Anolis sagrei: one gene and its partner. The protein of the gene in region 1 interacts with the protein of each later gene in a biochemical or structural test. Links are inferred from orthologs where the notes say so. Each region holds a gene or a part of one and is shown in the gene's direction. Other genes may lie near its edges. The genes, in order: STON2 and SYT1.

The links.
Region 2: the proteins of STON2 (region 1) and SYT1 form a complex in vitro, tested with the Homo sapiens proteins (2 studies listed by BioGRID). The link is inferred for Anolis sagrei from reciprocal best matches to the Homo sapiens genes STON2 and SYT1.

What each region holds. Positions count from the first base shown.
Region 1 is NC_090021.1:309,879,392-309,895,808, reverse strand, and holds the start of STON2 (stonin-2), read left to right. Parts: upstream 1-10,324; 5' UTR 10,325-10,528; intron 10,529-16,417. UniProt on the Homo sapiens protein: Adapter protein involved in endocytic machinery. Involved in the synaptic vesicle recycling. May facilitate clathrin-coated vesicle uncoating.
Region 2 is NC_090025.1:147,888,923-147,906,064, forward strand, and holds the start of SYT1 (synaptotagmin-1), read left to right. Parts: upstream 1-8,540; 5' UTR 8,541-8,955; intron 8,956-17,142. UniProt on the Homo sapiens protein: Calcium sensor that participates in triggering neurotransmitter release at the synapse. May have a regulatory role in the membrane interactions during trafficking of synaptic vesicles at the active zone of the synapse.

The sequences.
Region 1 (16,417 bases):
CTCCACAGCTGTTGGCTATTTCAGTTGGAAGACTCCCTATTGAGGTTCCTTCTCCAATATTCAAGGATGTTCCAATGCAGCAGTTATATTATTGTGAAATGTTTAGGCCTTGACAAGTTACTTTTAGAGAGTAAGCACAGAATTAGAGGGATATAGCGTGTACACCATCAAGCCTTGGCAAAATTTTGGCTTCCAGTTTCAGGACACTGCCATGTCAGAGAAACAGTACACCAAAATATGTGACATCTGATAAAACCAATGCAAGAAGAATGCAGTCATTGGAAAACTGGTTGCTTATTGATATGTCTTTCAAGGAGTGTCAAAAGTGGGACATACCAATAACTATTTGTACCCTTGATTTTATAGCTTGTTGCACTCGTTGACAAATATCTATTCTGTAAGAATACACCAAATATACTAGAAAAATATGGCTTAAAACTCTGATGGTGTTGAAATTCTAAACAACACATCCTTTGAAAGAAGATATTTACTAGGGCAGATGGTTTGATAAATATCTGTTCACTAGATTAAAATTCATAGATGGTCTGCTAACCAAATACCTAAGGTATACCTGCTCTATTTGACCAAGTAAACCATGTTACCTCAGAAAAACTAAAACAATGGAGCATCAGATAAGCAGACCAAGAGATTATACATAAGATGTTGGAAATGTGGTTGCAAGCACCCAAGAGCTCACTAGAATAATCATTGGGGAACATTTTCCTCAGTTGAGACAATTATTGGGGTAGGGAATGGCTTGATGAGATTGTTAAAGGTAAGTTCCACAGAAAATAAATAAGAGTCTGCTTGCAATCCATTGTGAAAGTGAAACAGAGTTGGGAGTCACTACTATGTTGATGATATTCAGCTCAATTTCACCTGGTTGGCAAATGGGCTTTTCTAGAGAATGTACCTTTCATAGTCTCATGGAGAAATTTCCTACCCCAATAATAAATCCAGAGGACCTCCTCCAGTGTTTTTATGTAGATGGCAAAAATCAAGAGCACTACTGAACAATATAAATCAACAATAATGAGGCTGAACAGCAATCCTCAGGGACCACATTCTGGAAACAATGTTGTCATAGTCATTATATTTGTATCCTAACTTATTCCCAGTCTGAGACTCAAGGCAGATTACAATGTTATAGAAACAGCTAAAACATTTACGTATTTAAAAAATAAATATATAATTAAACTAACAATAGAATTAAAGGCATGACCATCAAAAAGAAAACAGCAAATAAGTAGTACAGCATGTTCTTCTAGAGTGACCAGCCTTCAAAGACCTGCCAAGATAAAATGTTTTCAACTGTGGAGAAGAACTGCAGGGATGGGATCAGTTAAACTTCTCTAGGAACAGAGGCGGTCCTAGGTAATTTTCAATGGTAAACAAACAGTATTTTGGCGCCCCCCCCCCCCAACCAATCACTGATCTAGATAGATAGATAGATAGATAGATAGATAGATAGAGATATATAGATATATAGATATATATTGGCATAGACAAATTTTGGCCCTCCAGGTATTTTGGACTTCCTACTGGTTGTTTGAAATTGTGGGAGTTGAAGTCCAAAACACATGGAGGGCCAAAGTTGGTCCATGCCATATATATGTGTATATATATATATATATATGCTAGCCATCCCCTGCCACACGTTGCTATGATCCAGTCTGGTCATCTTGAAAAGAAAGTAATGAGAAAGTTGGTTTCTTATGTAATTTCTTGATGCTTGTGGGTAAACAGTATTTCTTGTTGTTTCTTTGTCAGTGTTAATGTGGTGATTGTCTGGTTTGCCTACTTTGGAACATAAAACATATCATTGTCCTTCTTTAGGGATCCCTTTCACATCTATGATATTATATCTTCTGTGTGTGTGTGTTTGAATCCTATAGATCTATCTATATCTATGGCAGGATGGCTCTTTGTCAGGAGGGCTTTGATTGTTTTCTTGCTCTGGTGAAGGGAGTTGGTCTGGTTGGCTATAAGGAAGCATTTCTCAACCTGGGGGTTGAGACCTTTGGGGGGATCATGAGGAGGTGTCAGAAGGGTCGCCAAAGACCACTGGAAAAGTGTTTTCTGTTGGTCATGGGGGATTCAATGTGGGAAGTTTGGCCCAATTCTATCGTTATTGGGGTTCAGAATGTTCTTTGATTGTAACTGAACTATAAATCCCAATAACTACAACTCTCAAATGTCAAGATCTATTTCCCCCCCCCCCCCCCCAAACTTCACAGGTGTTCACATTTGGGCACATGGAGTATTTGTGCCAAGTTTGATCTAAATCCTTCATTGTTTGTGTCCACAGTGCTCTCTGGGTGTAGGTGAACTACAACTCCAAAACTCAAGGTCAATGCCCACCAAACCCTTTCAATATTTTCTGTTGGCCATGGGAGTCCTGTGTGCCAAATTTGGTTCAATTCCATCATTGGTGGAGTTCAGAATGCTCTTTGATAGTAGTTAACTATAATCCCAGCAACTACAATTCCCAAATGACCCTGGAAGGAGGGCCGAAATTGGCCCAGGCCTGTGTATGTATATGTATGTGTGCGTGTGTACACACACACACACACACACACACACATATATATATATATATATATATATATATATATATACACACACACATATATATCTATGCAAGGAGGAGGCCGCTGCCAAAGAGGGCATTGGTGGCGGCGGCTTCCCCCTTGACCATCCGTGCTCTTTCCTCCCCAGGCTTGGAAGGGACCCTTTTAGCCACGGAGCAGCAGAGGGGCGGGGAGGAGGCTGCTGGCAAAGAAGGCCTCAGCGGCGGCAGCTTCCCCCTCGCCCCTTTGCTCCTCCGTCCTCCTTCCTCCCCAAGCTGGGCGCCAGGCTTGGGAGCCCAGCCCGGGAAGGAAGGGAACTTTTAGCCACGGAGCAGCAGAGGGGCGGGGAGGAGGCTCCTGCCGAAGAGGGCCTCAGCCGTGGCAGCTTCTCCCTCGCCCCTCTGATGCTCCGTCCTCCTTCCACCCCAGGCTAGGTGCCAGGTTTGGGAGCCCAGCCTGAGGAGGAAGGGAACTTTTAGCCACGGAGCAGCAGAAGGGTGAGGGGGAAGCTGCCGCCGCTGAGGCCCTCTTCGGCAGGAGCCTCCTCCTCGCCCTTGTGCTGCTCCGTGGCTAAAAATTCCCTTCCTCGCCAGGCTGGGCTCCCAAGCCTGGCGCCCAGCCTGGGGAAGAAGGAGCATGGAGCAGCAAAGGGGCGAGGGGGAAGCTGCTGCCGCTGAGGGCGAGGAGGAGGCTACTGGCGAAGAGGGCCTCAGCGGCGGCAGCTTCCCCCTCACCCCTTTGCTGCTCCGTGCTCCTTCTTCCCCAAGCTGGGCGCCAGGCTTGGGAGCCCAGCCCGGGAAGTAAGGGAACTTTTAGCCATGGAGCAGCAGAGGGGCGAGGAGGAGGCTCCTGCCGAAGAGGGCCTCAGCGGCAGCTGCTTCCCCCTCGCACCTCTGTTGCTACATCCTCCTTCCTCCTCAGGCTGGGCGCCAGGCTTGGGAGCCCAGCCTGGCGAGGAAGGGACCTTTTAGCCATGGAGCAGCAGAAGGGCGAGGAGGAGGCTCCTGCTGAAGAGGGCCTCAGCGGCGGCAGCTTCCCCCTCGCGCCTTTGCTGCTCTTGCTCGGAGGAAGGAACCCTTTTAGCCACGGAGCAGCAGAGGGGCGAGGAGGAGGCGCCCCTGGCTGAAATGAAGTGTTCCGCAACGGCTTACTTTGCGAAACGGTTGAGCCGCCCCTGTCTAGGAAGAAAGTCTAGAAGCCACCATCAAAAGCCTCTCTTCCATTTGCTCTTCCAAAACACATGGATGTACCTATTGAAATGGTAGGACAGAGAGACAGGCCAGCCCAAAAGATCTTGCAACCTATTCAGGCCCATATTGGAAAATACAGTCCTTCAGATTATGTGTACCTGAACCATATAGAACTGTATAGGTTCTGCCTATACACTGAATTGTGCTTAGAAACAGACCAGCAGCCAGTGACCTGTTGCAGCAAGCAGGCTGGGTGTTCCCTGCAGCCTGCCCCAGTTATAATTTGGCCAAACAGGACCAGAATCACACCCAAACAGTTCCCCTAAGTGCCACAACAGCCAAATAAACCAGAGACATATCAATGATCAATGATACCAAATACCATTGAGAGTCTAGTAAAATAAGCACCACCCACCAATTCCATAGCATATGATACTCATGAAGGTGACCAAAGAGGTTTCTGTCCCAAAACCAGAAGTGAGGTCAGATTGGGATAGTTAAAATTAATGAATTTTATCCAAACCCAGTACTTATTATTTCCCCACCTGCTCTAAACATTACTTTGAAAAGGAAGATTAGAAACTTGTTGATAATTATCTAGGGTTCTGAAACTAGTAAGTCTTTGTAAATAGGGCTATAAAGGCTTACTTTTGAGGTGTTGAAACACACCTTTCTTTGAAAGCATCATTTGCAGTCTCTAGCACACAAATGACTAGCCTTTCTTCCCAACCAGGATGGATTTGAACCTAATAAACAAGCAGTTTCCCTCACCAGGCCAAACAACTTGTCCACATGATCAGGTTGTACAAATAGAAATTTACCCACCAAAACTATACAAGCGCCTGCATCTTTCTAGAGTCTTCCCAAAGATGAATCAAAATGGTAATGGGCCCAGCCCTAACATTAGGCAGAGTTAGGCAGCCATAATGGACAACAGATACTAGTGATTATGTAGGAAAGCAAATTGCTTGTCATGTAATTTGCTATTACTGGGTGTGTTTTTTCCCAGTGGCTGAAGATGCAGAGTGGTGCTTTGAGTACTATGTGAAGGGCAGGTGCCACCTGGTGCCCAATGTCCAACAGCAAAATATTTTGGATTTATGTTGGTTGATAACGTATCTTATCCAACCAGGAATCAATTTATTCTCGAAGGGATTGTACTTCTCTAAAGAACAAGAATTGCTGCTTGAGTCTGCATTTAGATACAAGGTGAAGGGGAAAATAGCCCATGGGCCTCATGCACCCCCTGAATCCTTTTTGTTATCCAAAACGTCCCAAATGTTTTTCTTTATACCAGTGGTTCCCAACCTGTGGCCCATGCATCACCAATGATCCGCAAGAACAAAAATATGGTCTGCGGCCTCACTATTATTACACCGTTGCTTCAAAACCATGTGGCAATGAGAGCGACTGGTCTCGCAAAACCATCTTATAGTGCTGAGGGATGTTGGGAGGGGAGAAGCTGACTACCCACCAAAGATCACGACTACCATATCAGCTCTAGATTATTAAATATGGTTTTCTGTGGATGAGCAGATGGCAACTAGCACATGTTCTGTATCAGAAACTAGAGCCGATGTGGTCTATCCAATGCACTTTTCTGAATCAGCATCCCAAATAACTAAACTGAATCTAAAGTTGTCCAAAAGCCGATTCATAACCCTTTTGGTACTAATGTTGGAGAGTGGTCCCTGCTCAAGTGGTTTCTGGTCAAGTGGTTCCTGGTTAAATGGTCCCTGGTCAAGTGGTTCCTGGTCAAAAAAAGCTTGGGAATAACTGCTAAACCATTTGGTCCAAACAACCCCAAAGACTCTTCTAGGACGATAGGGGCCAATTTTGCCATGCTCACAGTGCTCCAGACATTTTATTCTCCAGAAAATCTTTTTGCAAAAGGAGATAAACTGGAAGTTTACTTCTGGGACTCTTTAGTGAAGGCCCCTCCTGGCCTATACTGTGACCAAATTCCACCCCAATGGTTTTAGGGAACTTCTGGTATTAAAAAATTAAAATGGAACACGACTTTTGGAAACAACTTGAAAAGAGTTATCTTATCCCAAATAAGGCTATTGATTTACAACTTGCCAATTTTAAACTTATTTACCAGGGATCACAGAATTGGTAACTAGGAGACACTAAAATTATTCTTAAACTTGCAAGCTGCCTTGGACATTTTTAATGTGCTCTATTGCACTGCCAAGTGCACAATGCAAATGTTTGTTCAGAAATGGGGATCTGACTATTTTGGTGCATTTCTGGTGCACACACTGTCAGAACAAAACAGATCCTTATTTTGTGGCCTGCTTTGTAGTCAAAGGTGGCCAACAGGGAAAATGTTTCTCTTCGATGCCTTATTAGAATAAAAAGCTTCCCGTTTTTATGCCACATAGGGAGAGTGTGGGAATTCTGAGGCAAAACTCCCTACATTTTCATATGAATGCTTTTCATTTTCAAAGAAAACACCAGCTGCTTATAATGAACAGAAGGGAATTTTATAATGTGTTGATGTTGCTGTTGCTGAAGTATAAATGCAAATCATTCTCTTAAATTGCTTATTTAAATGGATTAGCTTGCACTATTATTATAGCTTCAAGGTAAATGATACTGTGCATAGCAGAAGATAAGTAATACTGTGCATTCTGTAATGACCATAACAAGTCAAGAAGACTAAACATTAAAAAGAGATGCATTAAAGAGATGGCAATATATAAATAAATAGTGTTGATGGGAACACTTCTGTGAAGGGCAGAATGCAGCGTGCTTAACAGGGAGAAGAGGAGTTCTGCTCACATATCTATACAAATCTATAGATTTGTTCACACTGTTCTGTCACTATCAAATCATAATACCTATATGATACATAGGACTGGAGAACAAGTCCTATGAGGAGCGGCTTAAAGAGCTGTGCAGAAGAGAAGGCTGAGAGGAGGCATGATGGCCATGTATAAATATGTAAGGGGAAGTCATAGGGAGGTGGGAGCAAGCTTGATTTCTGCTGCCCTGGAGACTAGGACTCGGAACAATGACTTCAAACTACAGGAAAGATTCCACCTGAACATCAGGAAGAACTTCCTAACTGTGAGAGCTGTTCAGCAGTGGAACTCTGTCTCGGAGTGTGGTGGAGGCTCCTTCTTTGGAGGCTTTTAAACAGAGGCTAGTTGGCCATGTGTCTGGAGTGCTTTGAATGTGATTGTCCTGCTTCTTTCAGGCCCACGAGGTCTCTTCCAACTCAGTGATTCTATGATTCTATTACTGTTCGCAGTATGGGGAGTGCTCCTCAATCAGTCCCCCCAAATGTCAGCCCAGGTAGATGTGATGATCAGAAGTTCTTACTACCAAGTTCGACTGATACGCCAGCTTTGCCCCTTCCTAGAACTGGAGGACCTAAAGGTGATAGTGCATGTGCTGGTAACCTCAAGGCTGAACTTCTGCAATGCACTATATATATACCTCTGTACCAAGTTGGGAAACTCCAATTAGTTCAAAACATGGCATCCAGATGGGTTACAGGAACATCTTTAAGTGAGCATATTATACCCATACTAAAGCTACTCCACTGGTTCCCAATTAGTTTCCAGGCAAAGTACAAGGTGTTGGTTATAATCTTTAAAGCCCTCCATGCTTTAGGTCCAGGTTACCAACAGGATCGCCTTATCCTACACAATCCACCCCTTCTACTGAGGTCTTCTGCTAACTCCACCCAGGCAGAACCCAACTGCTGACTGTCACCCAGAGGACCTTTTCATTGAATACCCCAAGACTATGGAATGACCTGCCAGAAGAGCTCCAACAGCTAAATGAGATGTCAGCATTCAAGACAAAACTGAAGATCTGTCTCTTCAAGCAGGCCTACTCAGCCAATTTTAAACTATACATTTTACTTTACATTTTATTAGTATCCATGTAAATCTTAGCTATGCGTATTTTAATATATGTATTTTAAAGGTATTATGTTTTATCCATGTGTTTTAAATATGCTGTACCCAGCCTTAAGTCATGAGAAGAGGCAAGTAACAAATTTTATAGAATCATAGATTCATAAAGTTGGAGGCAGAAAAATCACATTCAAAGCACCCTTGTGCATTGTTATCTTGTTATCATCATTATTATATCAATCTTCCTTTAAAGACCTACACTGATATAACAAAATGTGAGCATATTGACATACATGATAAGCACACAAGTTTTGTAATTTGGAAAGTAGCTACAATAAACCTCCTGTCAAACCATGTGAAACTAGAAATTGAAAACAGTGATGAAAGCTAAAAGTCATTTCACCCTGGTACTTTTCCTAAAGAGAACAATGGGGACAGAATTCACAGAATCAATGAAAATTTAATATAGGAAAATCAACACTATGGAAGCTATGGAAGCCTATTTGTGCAGGAAAACCATACATGCAAGAAAAACCTAAGTTGAAAAGATTTTGCTTTGAACACATCATTTATTTATGTATGTTACAGTATTGATTTTTATCCTGCCTGTCTCCTGATTGCTAATGACCAATATAAAATGATGTTAATTGAAAACCATGTGAATACATTAAAATGTAAATATAAAATTAAAAAACAAAAACCAATAATGTATGCTATTAAAACTAATAAACATTAAAATATTAAAATTATTAAAGTTTTATGCCCACCTTAAAATTCCAATCACACTATATTTAAAAGCCCAACCCTAACAGACCAAAGCGGGGGGGGGGGGGGGCGGTCATCCTGGCCTCTGTATATGTAAGATATAATATACAGAGGCCAAAGAGGTTCTTTCACAAATCTCTCAACAACAAAAAATAGGCATGAGCTTGCAGCACTGGCCACATTGTCTGAATGCCCAGTCACCATCTCCCAAAGCAGTTACTATACTCCCAAGTAATGAATGGAAAATGGAATAGTGGTGGACAGGAAAAGAGATTTAAAGATGGCCTTAAAGATGGGAGACGGTGGTCAGGCATTCGGAAAATATGGCTGGTCCAGCTGAGTTGATGGCGGAGGACTATCACTTCAGTGCTGGTGGTCTTTGCTTCTTCCAGAATGCTGACATTTGTCCACCTGTCTTCCCAGGAGATTTGCAGGATTTTCCAGAGGCAGCGCTGATGGAATCGTTCCAGGAGTTGCATGTGACGTCTGTACACAGTCCGTGTTTTGCAGGCATATAGCAGGGTTGGGAGGACAATGGCTTTATAAACAAGCACCTTGGTATCCCTACGGATGTCCCGGTCCTCAAACACTCTCTGCTTCATACGGAAAAATGCTGCACTCGCAGAGCTCAGGCTGTGTTGAATTTAAGTGTCAATGTTGACTTTTGTAGAGAGGTGGCTGCCAAGGTAGCGGAAATGACCAACATTTTTTACTGTTACACCATTAAGCTGTATTTCTGGCATTGGAGAAGGGTTGGCTGATGACTGCTGGAAGAGCACTTTGGTTTTCTCGATGTTTAATGACAGGCTGAGCTTCTCGTATGGTTCTGCGAAGGTGTTTAGAGTGGCTTGTAGGTCTTCTTCTGAATGCGCACAGACAACATTGTCATCAGCATATTGAAGTTCTGTAACAGATGTTGTTGTAACCTTGGTTTTGGCTTTCAGTCTGCTGAGGTTAAATAGCTTCTCATCTGTCCAATAGATGATTTCCACTCCAGTGGGAAACTTCCCATCAACAAGATTTCTGTTGTTGTTGTTCATTTGTTCAGTCGTTTCCGACTCTTTGTGACCTCATGGACCAACCCATGCCAGAGCTCCCTGTCGGCCGTCACCACCCCCAGCTCCTTCAAAGTCAATCCAGTCACTTCAAGGATGCCATCCATCCACCTTGCCCTTGGTCGGCCCCTCTTCCTTTTTCCTTCCATTTTCCCCAGCGTCATTGTCTTTTCTAAGCTTTCCTGTCTCCTCATGATGTGGCCAAAGTACTTCCTCTTTGCCTCTACTATCCTTCCCTCCAATGAGCAGTCAGGCTTTATTTCCTGAAGTATGGACTGGTTGGATCTTCTGGCAGTCCAAGGCACTCTCAGAACTTTCCTCCAACACCGCAAAATAGCAAATAGCAAAAAGAAAAGAGAAACCACTTCAAAATGATCTCAAAAGACAAACGAGATTGGTCTGGAATGACCAGGGTGGGACAAAGGACTCTTGTCTGCTGGAGCTAGGTGTGAATGTTTCAACTGACTATCTTAATTAGCATTTGATGGCTTGGCAGTGCCTGGAGGAATCTTTTGTTGAGAGGTGATTAGATGTGCCTGATTGTCCTTTGTCCCACCCTGGTCATTCCACAGATATATAAACTCTTTTTTCCTAGTTCCAACAGACCTCACTACGTCTGAGGATGCTTGCCATAGATGCAGGCGAAACGTCAGGAGAAAATGCCTCTAGAACATGGCCATATAGCCTGGAAAAGCTACAACAACCCGATGCAGTTCAGTTTTCCAAGTGCTCACTTAGGTAGCAGGTGGCAAGGGCATGCATGCTATGCACTCCCAGTTAGGTGCTGAGGATAAGGAGGGGCCGCCCCGCCCACCTGCTCCCTCTCCAGCCAATCAGGCTTCGGAGTCCCGCCCACCAGAGCTACCCCTCTCTAACCCTGATTCCTCTCTCCAGAGGGAAGGCGGAGAGGTCGGCGGCTGAGCCGGGTTTGGTCTGGGTTTCCCTTTGCTTGCTTCCCTTTTACCTTGATTCCTGGAAGGAGGGAGAGGGAGATCCCTTGGAAGCAAAGGAGGCAAGTGGAGGGCAAGGCAAGGAGAGCAGGTCGCAGCCAAACAGGAGGCGCTTGGTCCCGAAAGGTAAGGCGGGTTGTGTTCGCTTTGATCGCAATGCAAAAGGGGGAAGCTGGCTGCCGGCTTGGTAAAGGAAAGGAAACAAAAGGCTAGCTGATCCGGGCTCAGGGCGGGCTGGCTGGTTGGCTGGTTGGAAGCCCGGCGAGAGGAAGAGAGAGCTTGGGCTGGGCTTCTTCTTTCTCCCTCCGGTTGCTTTAAACCCAAATGCGCACCTTGTAGTCTGAATGAGTCAAACCAGGAAAGACTTCCACTCAAGAGAGCCCGCCCAAGCCTCCCTCCCTGCCCTCAAGCAGGGCAGGAACGGTGTGCTGTAGGCAGCCTGGGGGGACAATCATCATCATCACCATAGAATCAAAGAGTTGGAAGAGACCTCATGGGCCATCCAGTCCAACCCCCTGCTAAGAAGCAGGACTATTGCATTCAAATCACCATAATAATAATAATAATAATAATAATAATGCTTTATTTATATCCCGCCCCCTCTCCCTCTTCAATATACATGATTGGGTGGTGTGAGTTTTCCAGGCTGTATGACCATGTTCCAGAAGCATTCTCTCCCGACGTTTCGCCCACATCTATGGCAAGCATCCTTAGAGGTTGTGAGGTCTGTTGGAAACTAGGCAAGTGAATCATAGAATCGTAGAGTTGGAAGAGACCTCATGGGCCATCCAGTCCAACCCCATTCTGCCAAGAAACAGGAATATTGCATTCAAAGCATCTCCAGCAGATGGCCATCCAGCCTCTGTTTAAAAGCCTGCAAAGAAGGAGCCTCCACCACACTCTGGGGCAGAGAGTTCCACTGCTGAATGGCTATCACAGTCAGGGAGTTCTTCCTCATGTTCAGATGGAATCTCCTTTCTTTAGTTTGAAGACATTGCTCCGAGTCCTAGTCTCCAGGGCAGCAGAAAACAAGCTTGCTCCCTCCTCCCTATGACTTCCCCTCACATATTTATCCATGGCTATCATGTCTCCTCTCAGCCTTCTCTTCTTCAGGCTAAACATGCCCAGCTCTTTAAGCCGCTCCTCATAGGGCTTGTTCTCCAGACCCTTAATCATTTTAGTCACCCTCCTCTGGACACATTCCAGCTTGTCAATATCTCCTTTCAATTGTGGTGCCCAGAATTGGACACAATATTCCAGGTGTGGTCTAACCAAGGCAGAATAGAGCATGGGTAGCATGACTTCCCTGGATCTCTTTATGTAGGCCAAGATTCTATTGGCTTTTCTGCTGCCGCATGACATTGTTAACTGTTTAACTTGTTGACCACAAGGACTCTAAGATCCTTTTCATGCATACTGCTGTCTAGCCAGGCATCCCCCATTCTGTATCTTGGCATTTCATTTTTTCTGCCTAGGTAAGAGTATCTTGCATTTGTCCCTATTGAACTTCATGTTGCTAGTTTTGGCCCCTGGATCTAGACACTGTACTCCTATTGATGTAGGCCAAAATCCCATTGGCTTTTTTGCCGTTGCATCACATTGTTGGCTCATGTTTAACTTGTCCACGAGGACTGTGAGGTTTATATATCCATGGAATAATGTCCAGGGTGGGAGAAAGAACTCTTATCCGCTTGAGGCAAGTGTGAATACTGCAATTGGCCACCTTGATTAGCATTGAATAGCCTTGCAGCTTCAAAGACTGGCTGATTTCTGCCTGGGGGAATCCTTTGTTGGTCGGTGTTAGCTGCTCCTGATTGAAATTTCAACAGAAAGGAGGTAACCATGAAAATAAACAAAATCTGGCTACCCGTATTTTTTTAAAAAAAATCTAAAATCAGGACAGTAAATAAAGAGAAACACTCAACTAACAGGGCAATTCTGGACATAAAACAACCACGGCCAGCTAACACCTCCCAACAATTATTATTATTATTAAACTTTATTTATACCCCTCCACCATCATACCTCAGTGACTCGGGGCGGCTAACATGAGGCAAGCCTGACAAATACAATAAACAAAATAAAATACATACAGCAAATAATAACTCAAATAAAATATAAACAAGAAAGAAAAATAACACAGTGGGATAAAACACCAGGTATGAGGTATGGTGAAAAGTTAAAAACAAAGGAGTTGAACAAAGTGCCCCGGGAGATTGAGTGAGATGGAAAAGGGAGTAGTATCTAGAGGGAGAGATATGGATGGGACGAGCTATGGGGTTTAATGTTCCTGCCAGGGATGAGATAAAGTGCCTTATGCTGGATGGTCATGATATGGGGATTTCTTATTCATTCATCACAAGCAAGGTGGAACAGCCAAGTTTTCAAACGTTTCCTAAAGGCTGACAAGGTGGGTGCTTGCCTAATCTCCCTAGGTATTCCCCCAGGCAGAAACAAGCTACTCTTTGAAGCTACAAGGCCATTCAATGCTGATAGCCTGCAGCCTCAAAGTTTGGCTGATTGCTACCTGGGAGAATCCTTTGTTACTGTCTGGACAGTAAATAAAGAGCAATAGTAAAAAAAAAAAGCAGACAAGAATTAATCAGGGCCAGCTAACACCCCCAAACAAAGGATTCCCACAGGCAGCAATCAGCCAGGCTTGAAGCTGGAAGGCCATTCAATGCTAATCTAGGTGGCCGATTGCAACATCCACACCTGCCTCAAACATACAAGAGTTTTTTCTCCCACCCTGGACACCCTATTTCCTGGTCTGTCTCTCTTCTAAATTCATTCATTTCCCAGACATCAGTCAATAGGGAGGAAGGTTTCAGCCAATTCCAATCGACAATGTATTGACATTGTGGCCTCACTCTTCACAATACATCAATTACTTAAATACTTGTAAGCTTAACTTATCCAAGCTTGTATGATTCATATTTTGAGTGGTGTTCTAATGTTTAGAAAAGTGAAAGGTCATTTTTAATTGAAGTTGCTTTGGTTCCCTTAGACTTTTTTTGGCAAGGTTCAGAAACATTGCTAATACAGTACAATAATACAATCATAGACTTGGAAGGGATGCAAAGGGCATCTAGTCTATCTCCTTGCCCTTTGGATAGTATGCAAATCCAAAGAACTGTGGCAAAAATCCAAGAGTTAGAATCCTTTCCAGATCATTGCTTGCGGTCTCCCAATAATACACTTTATCTATATTCTGCCCTTCTCCCCTTGGGGACTCAAGAGCTGATTACAGTATATACAGCAAGCATTCAGTGCCTTACAATCACAAACAATGAGACACACAAACACAAACAAGGTAAATGCTTCTACTTTCATTTCTGGCTCTAGGGGAGGTGCTTTTCTCCATTTCCTAGCCAAGGAGCCTGGTTGTGTGGCCAGCAAGACTGCTTGGACTGTCTTCCTTTTGTTGTTGTTGTTTTTTTGTTTTGTTTTTTTGCCTTTTTTTCTGCCAAAGCAGTAACTATTTATTTAATCACATTTGCATGTTTTCAAACTGCTAGGTTGGCAGGAGCTAGAGCTAACAGCAAGAGTTCACCCTGTCCTGTGAATTCAAACTGCCAACCTTCAGGTCAGCAGTTCAACTGCACAAGGGTTTAAGCCGTTGCACCACTGTGGCCCGAAGAGCCATAGATTCTTTTCATAGGTTTTAAATGCTGTATGTTATTGAAATTGTTATTGTTTATTGCTTATTGTGTATTTTCTGTTTTTGAGTTTATTTTAACTGTTTTGTATTTACTATTTGTTATCGCATTTGTTTATTGATGTGCTGTGGGCTTGGCCTCATGTAAGCCGCACCGAGTCCCTTGGGGAGATGGTAGCGGGGTACAAATGAAATTTCATTATTTATTATTATTATTTTCAAGTCAATGTCACACACCTTATATTTGAATATCTTGTTTTCCTCCAAGGTTGAACTGTATCTTGTTGATTTTGGCCTAGCTGTCTAATCTGATCCCAATATTGCCTTCTGGGGTATTCCCAGTTTTCTGAAACTTTGATAGGCAGGTCCTCTGTTCTGTCTTCCAAACCATTTATAAAGATATTAACCAAAACTAAGCCAGGGACAGAACCTTGTGGTGCCCCACTTGCTGATTCTCTTCCTGATGAGGAGAAACTGTCGAAATAAATACTGTGTATGTGAAAAAAAATAGTTTGCCAAGTCTGAAGTAGAGGAGCCATTGAGCAGAGCAGGAGACAGATTTCAGCAGTGGCATTTTGCCACCTGATTCACAGCAGCCAATGTGTGGGGGAAAAATCCTCCATGCACAATTCAAGATGCTTAGATTCCAAGGTACATCACATTACTCTGGCACTTGAAGAAGAAAATCCACAAGGGTCTCATTATCTCCCTGGCAGTAAAAATACAATGCTTAAATTGCCCCAACCCCCCCCCCCCCAAAAAAAAAAAACACCCCTGTCTGTTGTCTATCAAAATGAGTTGCCTTATATGGCATCTTACTTTGTCTAATGGAAGGCCAGTCAGGGTCATCAGTCTATTGCAGGTATGGGGAAACCCAGGCCCGGGGCCCGGATGTGGCCCCTTGGGCTCTTTTCTCAGGCCCTCCAATCTCTCACCATCCTATCCTTCATCCCTTCTCTCTTTTCTTCCTTCTTCCCTCCCTCTTTCTCCCTCTCCCCTCCTTTCTTTTCTTCCACCTTTCCTCCTTCCTTCCCACTCTCTCTTTCTCCTTCCTTCCCTTTTGTCTTTCCTTCCATCTTTCTTTCTTTCCTCCCTTCCCTCCATTTCCTTCCACTCTTCCTTCCTTCCATCCATCCATCCATCTTCCCATTCCTTCCTTATTTCCTTCCTTCTCTTTTTCCTTCCTTCTTGCCTCCTAGGGGATGTATAGCCGAGAGAAGAAAAGGTAGAGAGGGAACATAAGAACCATGTTGCAAGATTTAAAAGTGTGTCCCATTGAGGAGGAGGGGGAAAACTGACTTTCTGCTGCTCTACAGACCAGGGCCCAAGGGAGCAATGGGGTCAAATGGCAGGGAAAGAGATTCGACTGCAATGATTAGGAAGAACTTACTGAGAGTAAGAGTTGTTGAAGAGTGGCATAGGCTGCCTCGGAATGTGGTGGAGTCTTCTTCTCTGGAGGCTTTTCTGCAGAGTCTGTCTATCGGAAGTGCATTTTATTGTGCCTTCTTGCATGGCAGCAGGTTGGACTAGATGGCCCTCGGTGATCTCTTCCAGCTCTACGATTCTATATCAGGAGTAGACAATATGGGACCTAATGGATACACTTTTTCTCTTCTGTTCACCATCTCATCCTAACAAAGGCTAACACTTTTGGGATCCAAACGTTTCCTGTTTTTAATTCACTTACTGCCTCCAAAAGAGAAGAAGAAAGGGCTGGGGGGACGGGACTTGGGAGAAACTCCTCTCTTCTTCCCTCCTGGCCCATCCAGCCCACCACGTAGCCCCCAAGTTAGAAAGTTTGCCCATGCCTGGTCTATTGACCTAGTTCTTTTTACACAGGTTTCCATTAAGGTGGTATGGCCAGTGTTTATAGGAAGAGGAGCATTTTGTTGATTTTCTGTCTCGACCTCAGTTGTTTGGAGCTATTTCTCACAATATCTTTTGCATTGCTATATTTCCCTTCATTAAAAGAAATAAAACCTTGATGTGAAAAAAGAAACTTGAACCTGTTTCCAAGACTAAGCATCCTCCATAATTTCCATGCCACACATTGTTAGCCTTCCTATGTTATACTTTCTCCAGTTGAAATTAGAAGGGAATGGATTTTGAAGTAAGTTGTCTGTATGATATTGGATTGTGCTTGTGGTAGGTCTTTGATTGTATCCCATACTCTCTGATAATATGGAATGCCGAAGCAGCACCTGAGTGCACTATGATGAATTATATATGTTTTGAGGCCTGTTTTTGAAAGGTAAGAGGAAGCTGGCAGTTTGACTACATATACCCTAGAAGCTTTGTGTGATAGACTGAAGTCTGCAAAACATCCTTGGAAAAGTTAAAGGCAAAAAGCCAAGATA
Region 2 (17,142 bases), on another chromosome or scaffold:
TGTTTTAATTCCATGAGCAAATATCAATTTCTGAGAAAGAAGCACTATCTTCTCTGTAATTTTTCTTCCTGAACTGAAAGCTCATTGCACTGCTGTTATGTGATAAGCAGACCACTCCACTTTGAAACATACAAGGCTTGGGGAAAAAGGTTAAATGCAAGCAGGAAAAAAAGAAGCAGCCTTAAACTAAGGTAAAAGGGAAAACCAAAGAATTTTATGGTGTCAGTCATATTTTCACTCCTGGCCAAATACCTGGAGGTGCACAGGGGTATGTTTTAATTAGAATATAGGTAATACACAGGGAAGAGGTTAATCCCTTTCTCTACTGCTGTTCCATGTTAAATTAATTGCTATCATAAATGTTAGTTCTACTAGATTAAAAAAATGTCTGTATTTTCCTTTGCATTGATGCTGTACTACATTGTGTTTTATATTTGTATTAGACACACAAACATGGATGCACAAACACACATGATTTCTGTGAACAGCTCTGGGAATACTGAATTCCAAATCAACTAAAGCCGACAATGACAAAGCCTTGTCTTTCAGGACCCTGGACAGAGCTCTCAAGCCTTTTCCCAGTAATGGCTATCTAAACTGAGTAGGTTTATTCTTTTTCCCCCTTTCCAGCTTTTTACATTTTGTAGAAATTTGTTTTGCACCTTAAACAGGAAGCTCTTCCAATGAGGGTTCCTTGTAATAGGCCTCCTCTGTGGCACTACAGCAGCAAGCAGGTTTACTGGAGTGTGATGCCTTGGGGACAAGATTTCCAGGCTCTTGATAGGTTCTGCCTCACAGTCTCTGGGAGATAGGCTTTGGTGGGTTCATTGCTTTCAGGATCCTACAGTGTTGCTAGTTCATAATTCTTTATATCTGAATCCAAGTCAGTGTTGGATATTTGTACAACTCTGAATGAGGGAGAACTTTTATTGATGATGTACAATGTTTTAAAATGATTTTATTGTAAGTTGTAGTTTTTATGGTATTTATATTGTTAGCATCCTCTGATGCTCATGTGAGGCCATGCTGAGTCCCCCTTGTGGGGAGAAAGGCGGGATATAAATATATGAAATAAATAAATAATAAAGTGCCTGGTGTGGTCAGAAAAGTGCCTGGTGTTAGGAATCAGAAAATCAATATTTACTGTACAAAAACATGACCCTGCTTGCCATAAATTCCTGATGTGTGAGAGGTGCCACCATGTATCTGGAAAGGCTTTTAATTCTACAAAGATCCAAATCGGTGAACACAAATTCAGCAATCTGCATTACCCTTCAGATACTAATGAACCCTAGGTTCAGAGCTTGAATAAGGAGTACAATATATAATGTCATAGGTTCAGTGTAATTGCCTAAATGGACTGGAAAATGGATGTAGACACCTACTTAACCAGGAAAAAAGTGCAGCTTTCCTGATCCCTTCTCAGAACTTATTCTGCAGCAATAACTATTATTGATGAATGAGTACTGAGAAGGCATCTGGAAAGTTGCATTCTTTTTCCAGTAGTGAAATTTTGTTTCAGGTAAGTTTGGGGAAGAGGAAAATGATATCTGTTTACCCTAACCAATCAAAAAGTCCCATGTGGTTCTGATGTGATTCCTGGCTCCACTATGCCACCATGTACTATGCGTGGTAGTATCATGAGGATGTTGCAATGTGTACCTTTACTATATTCTTCTGAACATGCATATTGTGGTGTCACCATTAGGATGCAGCACTGCAATTGCTGCTAACTAGTGATGATGTTGCCATGGATGCTATGATATTAACTGCTGGTGTTGCTCAGTTTATTCCTGTTTTTGCTCTATAAGGTCATAGGATTGCAACGGTATTATGCTAGTGCACTGCACATAGAAGAAGCTTGATGGTTCCACAAAGTCAGAAAGACCTGCTAGAAAACTGCATCAAGCATTCTGATTATTGTTATAATATTACAGCCAAGGAGGATAGAAATACACTGGGAAATCTGCTTTCAAGTGTGAAAAAGCCCAAATCTATCTGACTTCATTATTTTCCAAAATAATGTGCATAAATACTTAATTTATATCATTTTTCATTTTGTGGCATTAGATTCTTTAATCTGTGGACTTGTGATTCATCCCCTTGCTGTGCTTGCTAGGCATGGTTCTTTATTGTATGTGAGAGTCATTAGTTACTATTGAATACTGCTACTGTTAATACAAACATTGCAGGTGATATTAGACATCAGTGGCACAACAGGAAACACACACAAACACACACACCATGGTAGTTGTGCTTCATATCAAAAGCAGTAACATCTGGCAAAACAATGATACTTGATTGAATCCTTTTTTTTGGATGCTGAAAGCCCAAAAGCCTAATGGTAGACATCTAATGGTAATTTAGCTTCATTTGTGCCTGAAATTTCATCCCACAAACTTTAAAATGTAGTCAATATAATGCAGCATAAATATACAATAACCTTTAAGTCATCTCAAATAGAAAGAAGCTCTGGAATAATCTCTCTCCATCCCTACTGCACAGGGGAATAGTAATATTATCAAGACACGTCTTTTGTTGAATTCTTGGGTGAAAAAGTAGGGTGCAAACACAATAGATAAATGGTACTAAATCTTATTTATTATTGGTCAATAAATACTCAACCACAGACATCAGAAGAGCTGCAAGACCAAGAACAAGCCATCAAAAACAAAGATCCCCCCAAAGGAAAAGTGTTCTTACCATACATCAAGGGAACCACTGACTGCATAGGGAAGCTGATGAAGAAACACAACCTAAAAACTATCTACAGACCCACTAAGAAAATCCAACAAATACTACGTTCAGCAAAGGACAAAAAGGATCCTCTCACCTCTGCAGGAGTCTACTGTATACCATGCAGCTGTGAACAAGTCTACACAGGGACCACTAAACGCAGCGCCCGAACATGAATCAAGGAACATGAAGGGCACTGCAGACTACTTCAACTAGAGAAGTCAGCCTTAGCAGAGCACTTTATGAACCAACTCGGACACTGCATATTATTTGAGAACACAGAAATGGACCACTCTAACAGCCACCATGTCAGACTATACAGAGAAGCCATTGAAATCCACAAGCATGTGTATAATTTCAACAGAAAGGAAGAAACCATAAAAGGAGCTTTCCATCCCTGTGCAGTAGGGTTAGAGAGAGATTTGCCTCCCACTCCAAAGGGAGAATGGTTGGTTCCATGAAACCATCCAGAATAGAGGATGGAGCTGGGCTAAGCCTGTGGCTCAGCCCCCTTGGCTCATTCTGAGCTCTTTTGGTGACCCACCACACCTGCCCATTTTGGAAGTATATGCATTGTTGCCAGCTGGGACCGAGTAGGAATTTTTACCTCTCCTATGTTCTAGGAACATAGGGGCTAGCTGGGGTGGTGTGGCATCTAAATAGGTTAGCATAAATAGAGAGGACAATCGGATATTCGGCGTATACCCAAGGCACCCCCTTCAGGGGTGATGGCCTGTAGCTAAAACACTGACCTGTTGATCACTTGGATGGGGTGAGGTTAAATCAACTGGCCTTAAATTGGTGAGAATCTGGCCTCAATAACATTGGGGGAGGCTTCTCCAGGTTTCCTTAGAGGTTGCCCAGTTGTAAATTTGCAGGGGACCCAGGTGTTTCGCCCAAGTCGCCGGGGAGTAGTCCAGGTATGGATGCTACCTCGGCTTTGCCCTTCACCAAGTTCAAGACTCACCCCAGTTAGAACAGAAAAAGTTAAATAGGTAATTTTATTAACAATTGTCCAATTTGAACCCAAGTTATTGTTGTCAGTCTCCTTATTTCGTGGGGGTGGGCAGGCAAATGAACAAAATCTAGCTACCAGTATTTTAAAAACTCTAAAATCAGGACAGTAAATAATGAACAACACTCAATAAAGAGGGGAATTCCAGACAGGAAACTATCATGGCCAGCTAACACCTCTCAGTGAAGGATTCCCCCAGGCAGCAAGCAGTCAGGCTTTAAAGCTTCATGGCCATTCAATACTAATCACGGTGGCCAATTGCAACATCCACACCTGCCTCAAACAGACAATAGTTCTTTCTCCCACCCTGGACATTCCAGAGATATATAAACTCCACTTGCCTAGTTTCCAACAAATCTCACAACCTCTGAGGATGCCTGCTATAGCTGTGGGGAAAATGTCAGGAGAGAATGCTTCTGGAACATGGCCATATAGCCTGGAAAACTCATAGCAACCTAAATCTTATTGTTAGTCCCTTTAAGAATAGATATGTGAAATAACTAGAAAATGCATAAAGCAACAGCTATGTATGTCTCGTTGATTCACTGGGTTTCCTCTAGTTAGAACTAGCGATTGAATTTAAATGGTTAAAATATATGCTATTCGACTTAGGGCATAATCCAATTCCCTACTGTATTGACTCCTGTATGCACTTCTCTCCCCTGCTCCTTCTGCCCTGGCAACATTTCCACAAAAACTGTCAATAGTTCCTTGAGATATCAAATCAAAGCCTTCTCTCCTGTCAGGCAAAACTCTTCCTCTATAGCTTAAGTTCAACCCTTGATATTTGCAGCCAGCAAGAGTTAGAAAAATCTCTTCCAGGCAGTCCCTGGAGAACTGCAGTCCATCACAGGGCTCTATGGACCATTAATTTGATTCTTAGGACAGCTCCTTATCATGTTTCATGGGCAGACAAGTCTGGCACAAAGGTTATCAGACAGTTTGGATTCCACACCTCAGTCCATATACAGTGGTCTCACAAAAAATGGAGTGCACACTATACGATGCAACTTCAACTGATGCGCACTAGATAGATGGGCTGTGGAATGTATCTTTGTGTCCAAATTTTAACATGTGAGAAATCATCATTTTTAGACACTCATAATTCTCAAACGTTGAACAGACTATTGTGACAGAACGTAAGGAAAATAACATAAATACAGACATACTCATCTTCTGGTGTTTCTAGAAAGGAATTGATGGTTAGACTATAGGGAAAATGTGCATGGAAGAAAATTTGCTTCGGATTTGGGTTCAAGCCTTCAAGAAATCTTGCCATGTGATTAAAAACATAACATATAACATCCTCCGTTCTACTTTTGCAATTATTTTGTGAAAGAGTTAATTTTTGCAAAATATTTTTTATGTTTCCTGGGAGCTTCAGAATAGCTTTGTTTCCACATCTATTTGGGCATTTCGACCCAGCATTTGTTGTGAGTTGCCTTTTACAGAGCAATTATCAGATCAATTCATAATGAATCAAAGCTGTAAAGATGTCTGTTTGTATTTTGCTGAAACCCCTGAGTGTCATAAAGTCCATAAATTCTTATTTTAAATCCACTTGCTACTACAGATACTGTCTGGGAATGGGATAGCCATTGGCCAACCAATTCTGTATAGTGAAAATGAGGGAGTATTAAGATATAGGGTGTACCCCTCTTCATCTTCACTTCAACAAAATAGCTTAACCATTGCTAAGAGGAAGAAGAAAGGCTGAAAGAGAACTCAAAGGGTACATCTTTGTTGTTGTTGCTTCCGACTCTTTGTGACTTCATGGACAAGCCCACGCCAGAGCTCCCTGTCGACCATGGCCACCCCCAGCTCCTTCAAGGTCAAGCCAGTCACTTCAAGGATGCCATCCATCCATCTTGTCCTTGGTTGGCCCCTCTTCCTTTTCCCTTCCATTTTCCCCAGCATCATTATCTTCTCCAAGCTTTCCTGTCTTCTCATTATGTAGCCAAAGCACTTCATCTTTGTCTCTAATATCCTTCCCCCCAGTGAGCAGTCGGGCATTATTTCCTATAGTATGGACTGATCTGATCTTCTTGCGGTCCAAGGCACTCTCAGAATTTTCCTCCAGCACCACAGTTCAAAATTGTCTATTTTTCCTTCACTCAGCCTTCCTTATAATCCAGCTCTTGCACCCATAGCTTACTATGGGGAAGACCATTGCTTTGATTATGCAGATCTTCAGTGCAACTATACACATCTACATTGCCTCAACAAACTACAATGCCAATGATTCCACAATATCTAACCATGGCCATTAAAGTGGAATCAGTGTAGACCAGGCATGGGCAAGCATCAGCCCTCCAGGTGTTTTGGACTTCAACTCCCACAATTCCTAACAGCCGATAGGCACCAGCACTCTGAGACTAAAGACTGTAAAAAATACAACTTCCAGAATTCCATAATATTTAAAGATGGCAGTTTAAGTGGAACCAAAGTGCATTATTTCCACACTGTAGATGTGCATGGTTGCACTGAAAATCTACATAATTAAAGTAATGGAATTTCCCATAGTAACCTATGGATGTGAGAGCTGGACCATAAGGAAGGCTGAGCGAAGGAAGATAGATGCTTTTGAACTGTGGTGCAGGAGAAAAATTCTGAGAAGATCCAACCAGTCCATACTCCAGGAAATAGAGCCTGACTGCTCACTGGAGGGAAGGATATTAGAGGCAAAGATGGAGTACTTTGGCCACATAATGAGAATCATAGAATCATAGAGTTGAAAGAGACCTCATGGGCCATCCAGTCCAATCCCCTGCCAAGAAGCAGGAAAATGGTATTCAAAGCACCCCTGACAGATGGCAATCAAGCCTCTGTTTAAAAGCTTCCAAAGAAGGAGCCTCCACCACACTCTGGGGCAGAGAGTTCCACTGCTGAACGGCTCTCACAGTCAGGAAGTTCTTCCTAAGGTTCACCTTTCTTGTAGTTTGAAGCCATTGTTCCGCATCCTAGTCTCCAGGGCAGCAGAAAACAAGCTTGCTCCCTCCCCCCTATGACTTCCTCTCACATATTTATACATGGCTATCATGTCTCCTCTCAGCCTTCTCTTCTTTAGGCTAAACGGCCCCGGCCCAATTTACCTGCCTGAACGCATCTCCCCCTATGAACCACCACAGAGATTAAGATCTTCTGGGGAGGCCCTGCTCTCGGTCCCACCACCATCACAGGAGCATTTGGCGGGGACAAGAGACAGGGCCTTCTCAGTAATTGTCCTTCGACAATAGAGCTCCCTTCCTAATGAGATCAGGTCAGCCCCCTCCCTCTTGTCCTGATGATAACGTGGCTGTGGGACTGAGCCTTTGGGACTGTGCAATGAGGCAGCGATAGGAACCCTTAGTATGCCAACCAAATTTGATATGGTTGTTGAGATAGTTTTAACTAGTGGATTTTAACATCAAGATATGTGATTTTAATGCTTTTGTATGTGTATGGTATAATATGTTTTGGCATTGAATGTTTGCCGTTTATATATTGTGCTCCACCCTGAGTCCCCTTCAGGGTGAAAAGGGCGGAATATAAATGCTTTAAATAAAATAAAATAAATAAATATGCCCAGCTCTTTAAGCCGCTCCTCATAGGGCTTGTTCTCCAGACTCCTGATCATTTTAGTCGCCCTCTTTTGGACACAGGCCTGTAGCCAGAATTTTGATGGGGGGGGGAGGGCTGAGTTTGATTTGGGGGGGGGGCTGAGTCTGAGTGAAAGAGGGTCTACCCTAGCAAACCTTTTGCATCATTACCCCAATACCCCCATGCTACCCCCATGCATATGAGATATATTGGGCATGGTGATCAGATCATGATATGAATAGACAGAACAGTTTAAATAATGTACCAGCAAGGCCTTTTCGTAGACCACCATGAGAATTTCGGGGGGGGGGGGGGGGGCTGAAGCCCCCAAAGCCCCCCCTCCCCCTGGCTACATGCCTGTTTGGACACATTCCGGCTTGTCCATATCTCTCTTCAATTGTGGTGCCCCGAATTCGACACAATATTCCAGGTGTGGTCTAACCAAGGCAGAATAGAGGGGTAGAAGACAGGAAAGCTCGGAGAAGAGAATGATGCTGGGGAGAATGCAACGTAGGCTGTTAGGAATAGTGGGAGCTGAAGCCCAAACACCTGGAGGGCCAGAGTTTGCCTATGCCAAGAGGTGAGAAGGCCAGGGCCCTCTTTCTGTTTCAGGCTTTGCTTTCATTTCCATTGCCGCTTCTGTGGGAGTCCCTGGCGCTTGCTCGTGGATGTCTTTCTGTGTTTCTCGCACTCAACGATGCCATATTGCAAATTGCCAGCTTTCGGGGAAGGGAGCGGAGGGGAGGAGGGAAGGCGAGGGTCAGGGAGAGAATCAGGTCACCCGGGCGACTGGCTTCCCATGGCAGAGAAAGTGGGAGGGAGGAGGAGGAGGAGGAGGAGTGGGCGGGACGCGCAGCCCCCCGGCCCCTTCCACAGAGCGTGCCCTTGGTTGTCATTCGTGGGGGAACACCCTCCCCAGCCCCTGAAGGCGGGTGCGCGCCTCTCTCTCTCCCCCCCCCTCCCTCTCCCTCTGTGAATGCGTGTATATATCTCTATCTCTGGTGTGCGTGTGTGTATCTGGAACGGGAGGAGGGAAGAGGCAATAACGTAACGACAGTGGGGGGAAAGAAGGGCGATGCTGCCTCAGACAGCCCCACCTGCGATGCCGGCGCCCTGATTGGCTCTGGCGGAGGCAATCCCCGCCTCGCAGCCAATCGGCGTTGCCTCCCTCCCTCCCTCCTCCGTGGAGGGATTCCTAGCAGAAGCTGCAGAGCGGTGATGCTCTGAGCTGTGCGCCCCTCCCTCCCCTCCTCCCTCCCTCCCTCCGTGGAGTCCAGGCTGGCTTTCTCTCTCTCTCTCTCTCTCCCAAGCCTTCCCTCCTCCTCCTCCTCCTCTTCCTCCTCTGCTTAGCAGCCAGTAGCAGCTGAAACTTAACCCCCGAGACAAAGGGGGGAATAAGGGGAGGGGGGCTCAGCTGAAGACCCGCTGAGGCGCGGGAGCGCGCGCTGAGGCGATGTGGGCGCTCGCCTGAGGGGAAAAAAAGGGGTTCGCCTTGCTGCGCCGGTCCGTTGTTTGGTCTCCAAGGCTTCCATCCCATTCTCGACACTAGAAAGAACAAGAGTGCTGAAGGACAGCCTCGTCTCCTCCTCCCGCCCTTCTTTCCTTCTGCTAGTTCGGCTTGGCAGGTAAGGCGGGGTTGGCTGGCTGGCTGGCTTCATGGCTACCACTTGGAAGTCTGTGAGGGGCACCACTCGAGAGAGAGAGAGAGAGAGAGGGACCTTTGGAAAGGACGGCCAAAGGAGCACATGGCCCTTCTCCAGAGAACTGTGGGGGGAGGAAGGTGGGAATGGCGTTGGGGTTCAAGGGAAAGAGATGGGAGCTTGGGTTGGGTTGCTGTCTAGCAATCTCCACCCACTCGAGGAAGGTAAAAAAAAAGCTTCCCACCCACCTGGGTGTTTCTCTCCTAGGAGAAGTGGGCTGGATGGAGGGTAACATGGGGTGAAATGGAAGGAGGTGGAGAGGCAAGGAGGGGATGCTGCATCCTTCTCAGCGCCTCCAAAGCACCAAAGTGCTTACCCGACAGTAAACAAACCCTTCACCTGCCTCCAAGCAGGAGAAACAGCTTTGGAAAGGACCATTCTAGTTCTGGTTTTTCTTTTTTTTTCTTTTTTTGCTCTCAAACAAACAACAAGGTGCGAGGAGGGAAAATGAGGACACTGAACAAAAGTTAATCATAGTCCCAGCCTCCCAAAGTCCCCCTTCTTCTAGGGATGATGCATTGGGTGATGATGGAAACAGAGTTTCAGCATCAACTATTTCCATCACAAGGTAGCCTAGCTCCCCAATCCCCTGTGTTCAGGATTCACTCAGATTCATCATCTGCTAGAGTTAGATGCAAACCGTGATGTTTGTTATTCTCCAGCAACAGTCCCCAAAGGAAATTTATTTATTTATTTTTCATATCGGAAGTGAACTGAAGGTACAGTTGTAATGTATTTAAAAACACAAACAAAGTTTAAAAACTTGGCATTATACTAAATATCCTTTGACCACAAGCTGGCCACTTGGAGTTGCTACAAGAAGGTCCTCCATTGTGCAATGTGGCAGAGCTCAGACTACATTTTAATTGGTGGTCTGTGGTTTGCTCTTCCCCACACTCGCATGTCGTGGGCTCCACTTTGTGGCCCCATTTCTTAAGGTTGGCTCAGCATCTCCTGATGCCAGAGCGCAGCCTGTTCAGTGCCATCCAAGGAAATGCAAAGGGTTTTGTTGTGATACAGGGGATGGAAAGGATGCTTTTGAATTTTTTTAAAAAATGATTGAGATCATGGTTTTTGGAGTTTTAAAAAATGACATTATAAATGATGGACCTGCACATCTTTAGAAGAGCTGGCAGATCTATATCCCTGCCCCCCGTGCCCCCATCATCATTATTAATAGCATCTCCCTTTATAATTGTTTTATCATTCTCCCCATACTTTCTCTTTCACCGATAATGTGGAAAGGATTGTTGTCAATAATCTACATAAGCCATATGGTATTACAGTACTCACAATACGGTTAAAAATGAGATGTATGGAAGGCTTAGGAAAAGTTTAAAAAGCTGGTGTCACAAAGTTATCCAAGGCATTTTGAAGGATATCCCTCCCATCACCTCTTGTTTCCTTGGAAAGATATTGGGCCACTTACTGGAGCATTGCATGTTCATTACACACTCTCATCAGAATTAGTCTTTATAGCATTTTCAGTGATCTGCAACTCAGTCAACACTGATGTGAGATGCCTTTTACTGTTGTTCATTTATTATTATTATTATTATTATTATTATTATTATTATTATTATTATTTATTCATCAGCCCCAACTGAGGGATGTTGGTCAGTGGAAGTGGTAGAAAGAAGTCTCCTGGGTAATTATAAGTGGAAAGTGTTCCAAGTGAAGTTCTAAATGAGTAGGAAGGCATATTTGGCCACAATTGGTTGATGGATATAAGCCTCCAATTGGCATAGGAGAATGCCAAGTTTTGTTTTTTAATGTCCTGTTGTGACTAAAGATGGTATCTATGTGATTAGCTGGGACCAATTTCATACATTTTCCTCACTACATGTCATCTTTTAACAGCATTTTCACTGCCTCACCCTCCATATATTCTTCTGTTCTGAGTCCGTACAGTAATTTTAGATACTAAGGTTCTGCAACTCAAAGCATGACCCTTATTTGTGCAATCATGTTTTGTGCTTTCAGCAGCTCTTCTGCTTTTATACCCGTGCTGTGTGTCTTCCTGAGTATTGTTAATGGAGAGTTATTTTTAATTCTAAAGCGGATGCAAAAAGAGATTATAAGTACAGGCATTTGGTCCACTAAAAAAAGTCTCATAGGGTTAATCTTAAAACCTATGTTTAAAATTCATATTATCTGAAACTCTGCATTTTAAAGGATATATTTTGCCTTGATAAATATGTAATGAATTTTTCCCTTGAGTATATCAGTGTTTTGCATGCACTCATGTCAGGGCCGGCAGAGAAAGCAAGACGCTCAACAGCCGTTAAGAGGATTTCAGAAATACTTTATCTCTTATAAACTTGACCTATGGCAGACGGGTATTTTGATGCAGCAAGTACAATGATGCCTCGTACCTTAAATACTTGCATGTTCATTGCAATAAGTCTTGAAAGTGCAGAAGATTTGGTTATTTAAACGTGACCTAGTTTTATGGTTAGGAGACATTCTCCCCCTCCCAACCAGGCTGTTGCCTTTTTTAAAGTTGTTTGTTGCTAATGCCTAGAAATAAATATATTGTATATAAAGTCAGAACTCTGATCACCTGTCTTGGAGCATTTGAAATGTGTATGACCCCAAAACTGAGAAATATAATGAAAGCTACTGAGAGTACTCATCTGCACTGGATTATTTTCATTGAATTCTGTGAGTCCGCATCATTTCAAGCGGTCCATGAATCTTAATTGCTTGCAGTAAAAATCAGGACAACAGGCAGATCCTGTAAAGAGAGGGCAAAATAGAGGGAAAGCCAGATAATGGCATTCTGCAGGGAATTGTGAACTCCTTTGCACTTGCAGAAGTAAAAACAATCTACCAATTTATACTATCCTAATTTGCCTACACATTAAAAATACTTCAGAGTACCTTTGAATGATTGACGCTACAAGAATTACCTCTGTTTATAGGAATATTGATCACAGAATTTGGAGTTTTATCTCACAAACTGTATCCCCCCCCCCCCCTATTGAACCAATGGATATTATGTTTAAATCTTTTGGCACTTGTTCACAAGGAGTACAAAAATAAAAAGAGGACATGAGGATGGAGCAACACTGGATGTTGAATACTGGAATTTTTTGGTTTTTTGTTTGAATAAGTACTGCAAATCCAAATACAAGGCTATTTTATTGACTAAATAGAAGAGGCTGATTGAGGTTACAGAAAGGGACTCTGCTAGAGATGTGAGAGAGCAATACCCCATTTTTTTTCTAATTACAATAAAAAGACCATGAGCATAAAATAAAAGTTAATGGTGAATCTGTGCATTTACAGATTGTTATCCTGGATGTGACGAGATGTTTTCAGAGTTGCCTCTTTAGAAAGTTTATAGTTAATTTATGGTATTTCAGGGAGAAATTAAATCATTTGAACATGTCATTGTGGTTAATTTCTATTTATGCAATAAAATCACTTTCAAATATAGCAATTAAATTACAACCATTTGATACCAAGATATTTAAAAACTTGGAAAAGTCATCATCGGCATTCAGTGTATTACTGTCCGTAGTTCCTATGAATGCTGGCTTTTGGGTGTCCCTTGTGTTTCATATATAAAAGCATTTTGACTAATCAGGAAATTATATTTAGTATTAAAGTGGCAGTATTTTGCTTAGCCATTACTCCCTCTCTGTCTCTCTCTCTAGATTTCAAAATTATTGATTAAATGGCTCTGATACAGAATTTTACAAGAAAAAAAATCAAACTACTTTAGTATTTTGGGCCTCTAAATTTGTTTGTTTTGAGTTTTATAATGTATTCAAAAGACCTTAATTAGAAGTGTACCTATGGGAAGGGTTTTGGATAAAGCTTATGCTATTATGTTCCTATGACATTCAAAAGGAACATTTCACACTAAAATGCTTAAATTAATAAATGCAGTATTAAGCAAACAAGTATTTGGAGGATATTTTATATGTATAAAAGTCATATGTTTTGTGGGAGATATATTTTTTTAATGCTGTGCACCAACCAACTAGGGAAGGTTTTAAAATAGTACAGATATTACATGCTGTACAGAACTATAATGCACACTCTCACACATGTGGTGCACATATTTAATATGACTATACAGAAAGAAAATAGCACTTCTGTAAAATATATAGTGATTTTTTAAGATGCAAAACTGCCAGATTTATGCAGTACTACTATGCTGTTGATCTAAGTGTTCCATGTCAAGAAAAGTAAATCATTTGTATTAACAATATGAAAAAGTTGCCCACTCAAAAACAAATCCCTGAAATCAGACATGGATAGACTATTGGCATATATGTCTAGTATGCTTTAAATTAACTTGTTCATCATTTCATTCCATTTTTTACAGTTTGAAATACAGTTTGTGTGTGTTGATTTTCCCAGTAATCTGAAATGTAGTTCAGCATTACTTTTGAAATACCTTAACAGACACGTCGTCCACTTGACTTTTGGTCGAGATTACTGGAGAAAAATCATTTTGAGGAATGCAATCCAAGCCCTAAGACAATACCAGCTTTAAGTATTTTCAACTTGGTTTAAAATGGCTTTGGGATTTCAACATTTTCTTCTCTGTCATATTCTGTTTTTGTTTTCACCAGTTCCTTTAAGGTGGATCCACTGGGGATTTCTTCTTCTTTTCTTCTAGAGGGAGCTGTGCCTCTCAGTCCTGGAAGATTCTTTGCAGATTCTTTCTGGAATTCACTTCTGTTTGAGCACAGTTCCTCTTTATTAGTGTAGGGAGAAAAAATCAGAATAAAACAACAGCACACAAAATATATTTACAGTGACTGATTATCTGATAGGGGTTTGATATTTTGGAAGTACTCATGCTAGATAAAAACAACATGAACTGTTGTTCCTTAGGGCAACATTCAACAGAACAAAATATTTAACACTGATGAGAGAGTTATATTATTTACATATGAAATATATTTCCAGTTAACTGTTTTTGTATAACTGTAGTGTAAAATGAGAATCTACACAATGTTATGTGCCTAGTCCATGTATCTTTCAGAATTTTTAATATAATTTTTGTATTTTATTTCATTAATTTTGATTTATTCCTCTTTTATTTACAGAGATAGCATTAGGTAACAATATGTGGAGACACACATTGTTCAATCAATTGGATTGAATAAAATTAGCAACAACAACAACATCCTATCTTGAAATAGCTAAAATTTTATACTAGTTTATATGAAAGTGCAACCGAGAAAGCTGAACTATATGCTAAAAATTATGTCCAATGTTTTTAGTGGAGATGCTAGCCAAGAATGTCTGTTTTTATGTTTCAAAATTTCTCATTTCACACACAAAATTAATAGATTCTTGCTCATTGATTAGAAAAAAATTAAACTGAAATAGAATAATTCAATGGGACGTAGGATCAGATCTACAAACAAACACAATGAAACTGCCAGATGCTAATAGGCAAACTGTTTCCATAAGTAAAAAAAAAAAGTTTACACAAGCTATACTAAGAAGGGGGTACCTAGTTACCTAGTTTGATTGCATGATTCTGATGAATATTATTGAATTATTATTTTGATTCAGTCTGGAAGACATCCACCCAGCTACTCTTCTATGATTTGTAGTCTGCAATTCCAAACTTGAGAAAGGCACACTGAAATTTTGGTGAAGTCCTTCAGTGAGATAATGGTGGGGGCGGGGGTTGCTTGTTTTATTAGGCTAGATGTGTTGTTGTTGTTGTTGTTGTTGTTGTTGTTGTATGTCTTTTTCTTATAACCGATAGACAACTTCACTACCATATGGTGTGCTATTTATAGAAGGATCAAAAACATAATTTCTACACAAAAGAGCAGGTCTGTTGGATAGTTGGAAAAGACTGGGCTATTAGGAGTGAATTTTTTATTTATTTGTTTTATAGAAAGGCTCTTGATGTCTCCTAACCTCTCTTTTACAAAAAGCTATTTATTACATATTCTTTTTTTTTGTTGTTGCCGTATTCTGTTTGCTGATTTTTCTGAATTGGATTTTTAGCACCACATCATAAACCCTCTCATTAGTTTGTTTGTATTATTCTCAAACCACACACATTCTTGTTGCCTTAGCAGTATCTAACTGTACAGAGCAAATCTAATACAGATGTCACTTTTGTAAATATCTGGGTCTAGATAGCTGCTATGCATCTCTTCCTTAAATACAGGTTGAGCATCCCTCAGCCAAAATGTTTGGCACTCTTTTGTATTCCAAATTTTTATTTTTGTTTATTTTGGGGGAGTGGGTGGTTGAATGTATTTAATGAGATAACTTGAAGATGGAACCCAAGTCTAACGATGACATTATATAATTCTTCATATACATCTTATACACAATATTTTAATAATTTTGTGCATAATTAAAGTTTGTGTACATTCTATTGTCTGGAAGCAAATGTATCACTATCTTAATGTATTTGCTGGAGAGCTTGAGTCACATCCCTTAGATTTAAGGAGCTGAAATTGAGTCTAATTCTGCCTGTGCCTGATTGAAAGGCATGTGTGTGTGTTGCCTGTTGACTTGTGGCACTTCCATCAATTTCATTAGGTTTTCTTAGGCAAAGATTGCCAGTTCCTTCCTCTGAAATATTGCCTTAGAACAGTTGTTCTTAACCTACCTAATGCCCTGACCCCTTAATACAGTTCCTCATGTTGTGGTGACCCCTAACCATAAAAATATTTTCCCTGCTACTTCATAACTGTAATTTTGCTACAGTTATGAATCATAATGTAGATATCTGATATGCAGGATGTATTTTCATTCACTGGACTACATTTGGCACAAATACCTGATACGCCCAAATTTAGAGACTGGTGAGGTTGGGGAGGAGGATTGATTTTGTCATTTGGGTGTTGTAGATGCTCGGATTTATAGTTTACTTACAATCAAAGAGCATTCTGAACTCCTGCAATGATGGAATTTAACCAAACATGGCACACAGAAGTTCCCTGGCCAACAGAAAATACTGGAAGGATTTGGTTGGCATTGACATTGAGTTTTGAATTTGTATTTCACCTACACACAGAGAGCACTGTGGACACAAATAACAATGGATCTGGACCAAACTTGGCACAAATACTCAATACGCCCAAATGTGAACACTGGTGGAGTTTGGGGAAAATAGACACTTGGGAGCTATAGCAGCTTAGATTTATAGTTGACCTGTAATCAAAGAGCATTCTGAATTTCATCAACTATAGAATTGGGCCAAACTTCCCACACAGAACCTCCATGACCAACAGAAAATACTGTGCTTTCTGATGGTCTTTGGTGACCCCCCTACCACCAACTCGCAACCATGCCCCAGGAGTCCTGACCCTCAGGTTGAGAAATGCTGTCTTAGAATCTGGTATTCATAGGTGATTTTCTATCAAGGCATTAGATAATGCTTAGCTTCCAAGATCAGACAAGAATTTGTGCCTTTAGGTCATTTAAGCCCTTTGCATTCAATCAAGAAATAAAAGAAGAAGAAGTTGAGGATAATGAGGATGATTAGGAAAGCACTCCCCCTTGCTAATCATCCCACTTATTTTGCTTTATCTCATATGATACTAGATGGTCTCTCTAACTTTCAGTAACAGTGTTGGCAGGTCGATAGGATAGTGGGAAACAAAAAAAAATTGATATCTTGCTTTGTATAACCACTGTGAAGTCATCGGGTTGCTGTGAGTTTTCTGGGCTGTATGGCCATGTTCCAAAAGAAGTCATCGTTGAATGCAATCTAGAAACTTGTTACGTACATTGAGGTTTCTGAAAAAGTTACCAGATGTTAATGGGTCAATGGTCCCAGTGGTGCTTAAACAACAGGTATAACCTTGTTATTCTACATATAAACAATCTGTATCTATGGAGTGTATGTAACAGTATTTGTATATAATAGTATTTTGTCAGCAGAACAATTTGAATTCCTCTTACTCTTCTTCACATTTCTCAAAAGCCTCTCTGGAGCAGATTTGGGGTATGTATATTCAGGGGCAGTGGGCTACATGAGAAAAGAAGAGAAGTGAAAGTATATGTTATACATGTGGGCATCCAGTCTAATGAATTTGTATTTAAATTTGCAATCTGAACTAAAATGTGCAGATTGTTCATTTTGCTGCTTTTCAAAATCAATCAGAATAA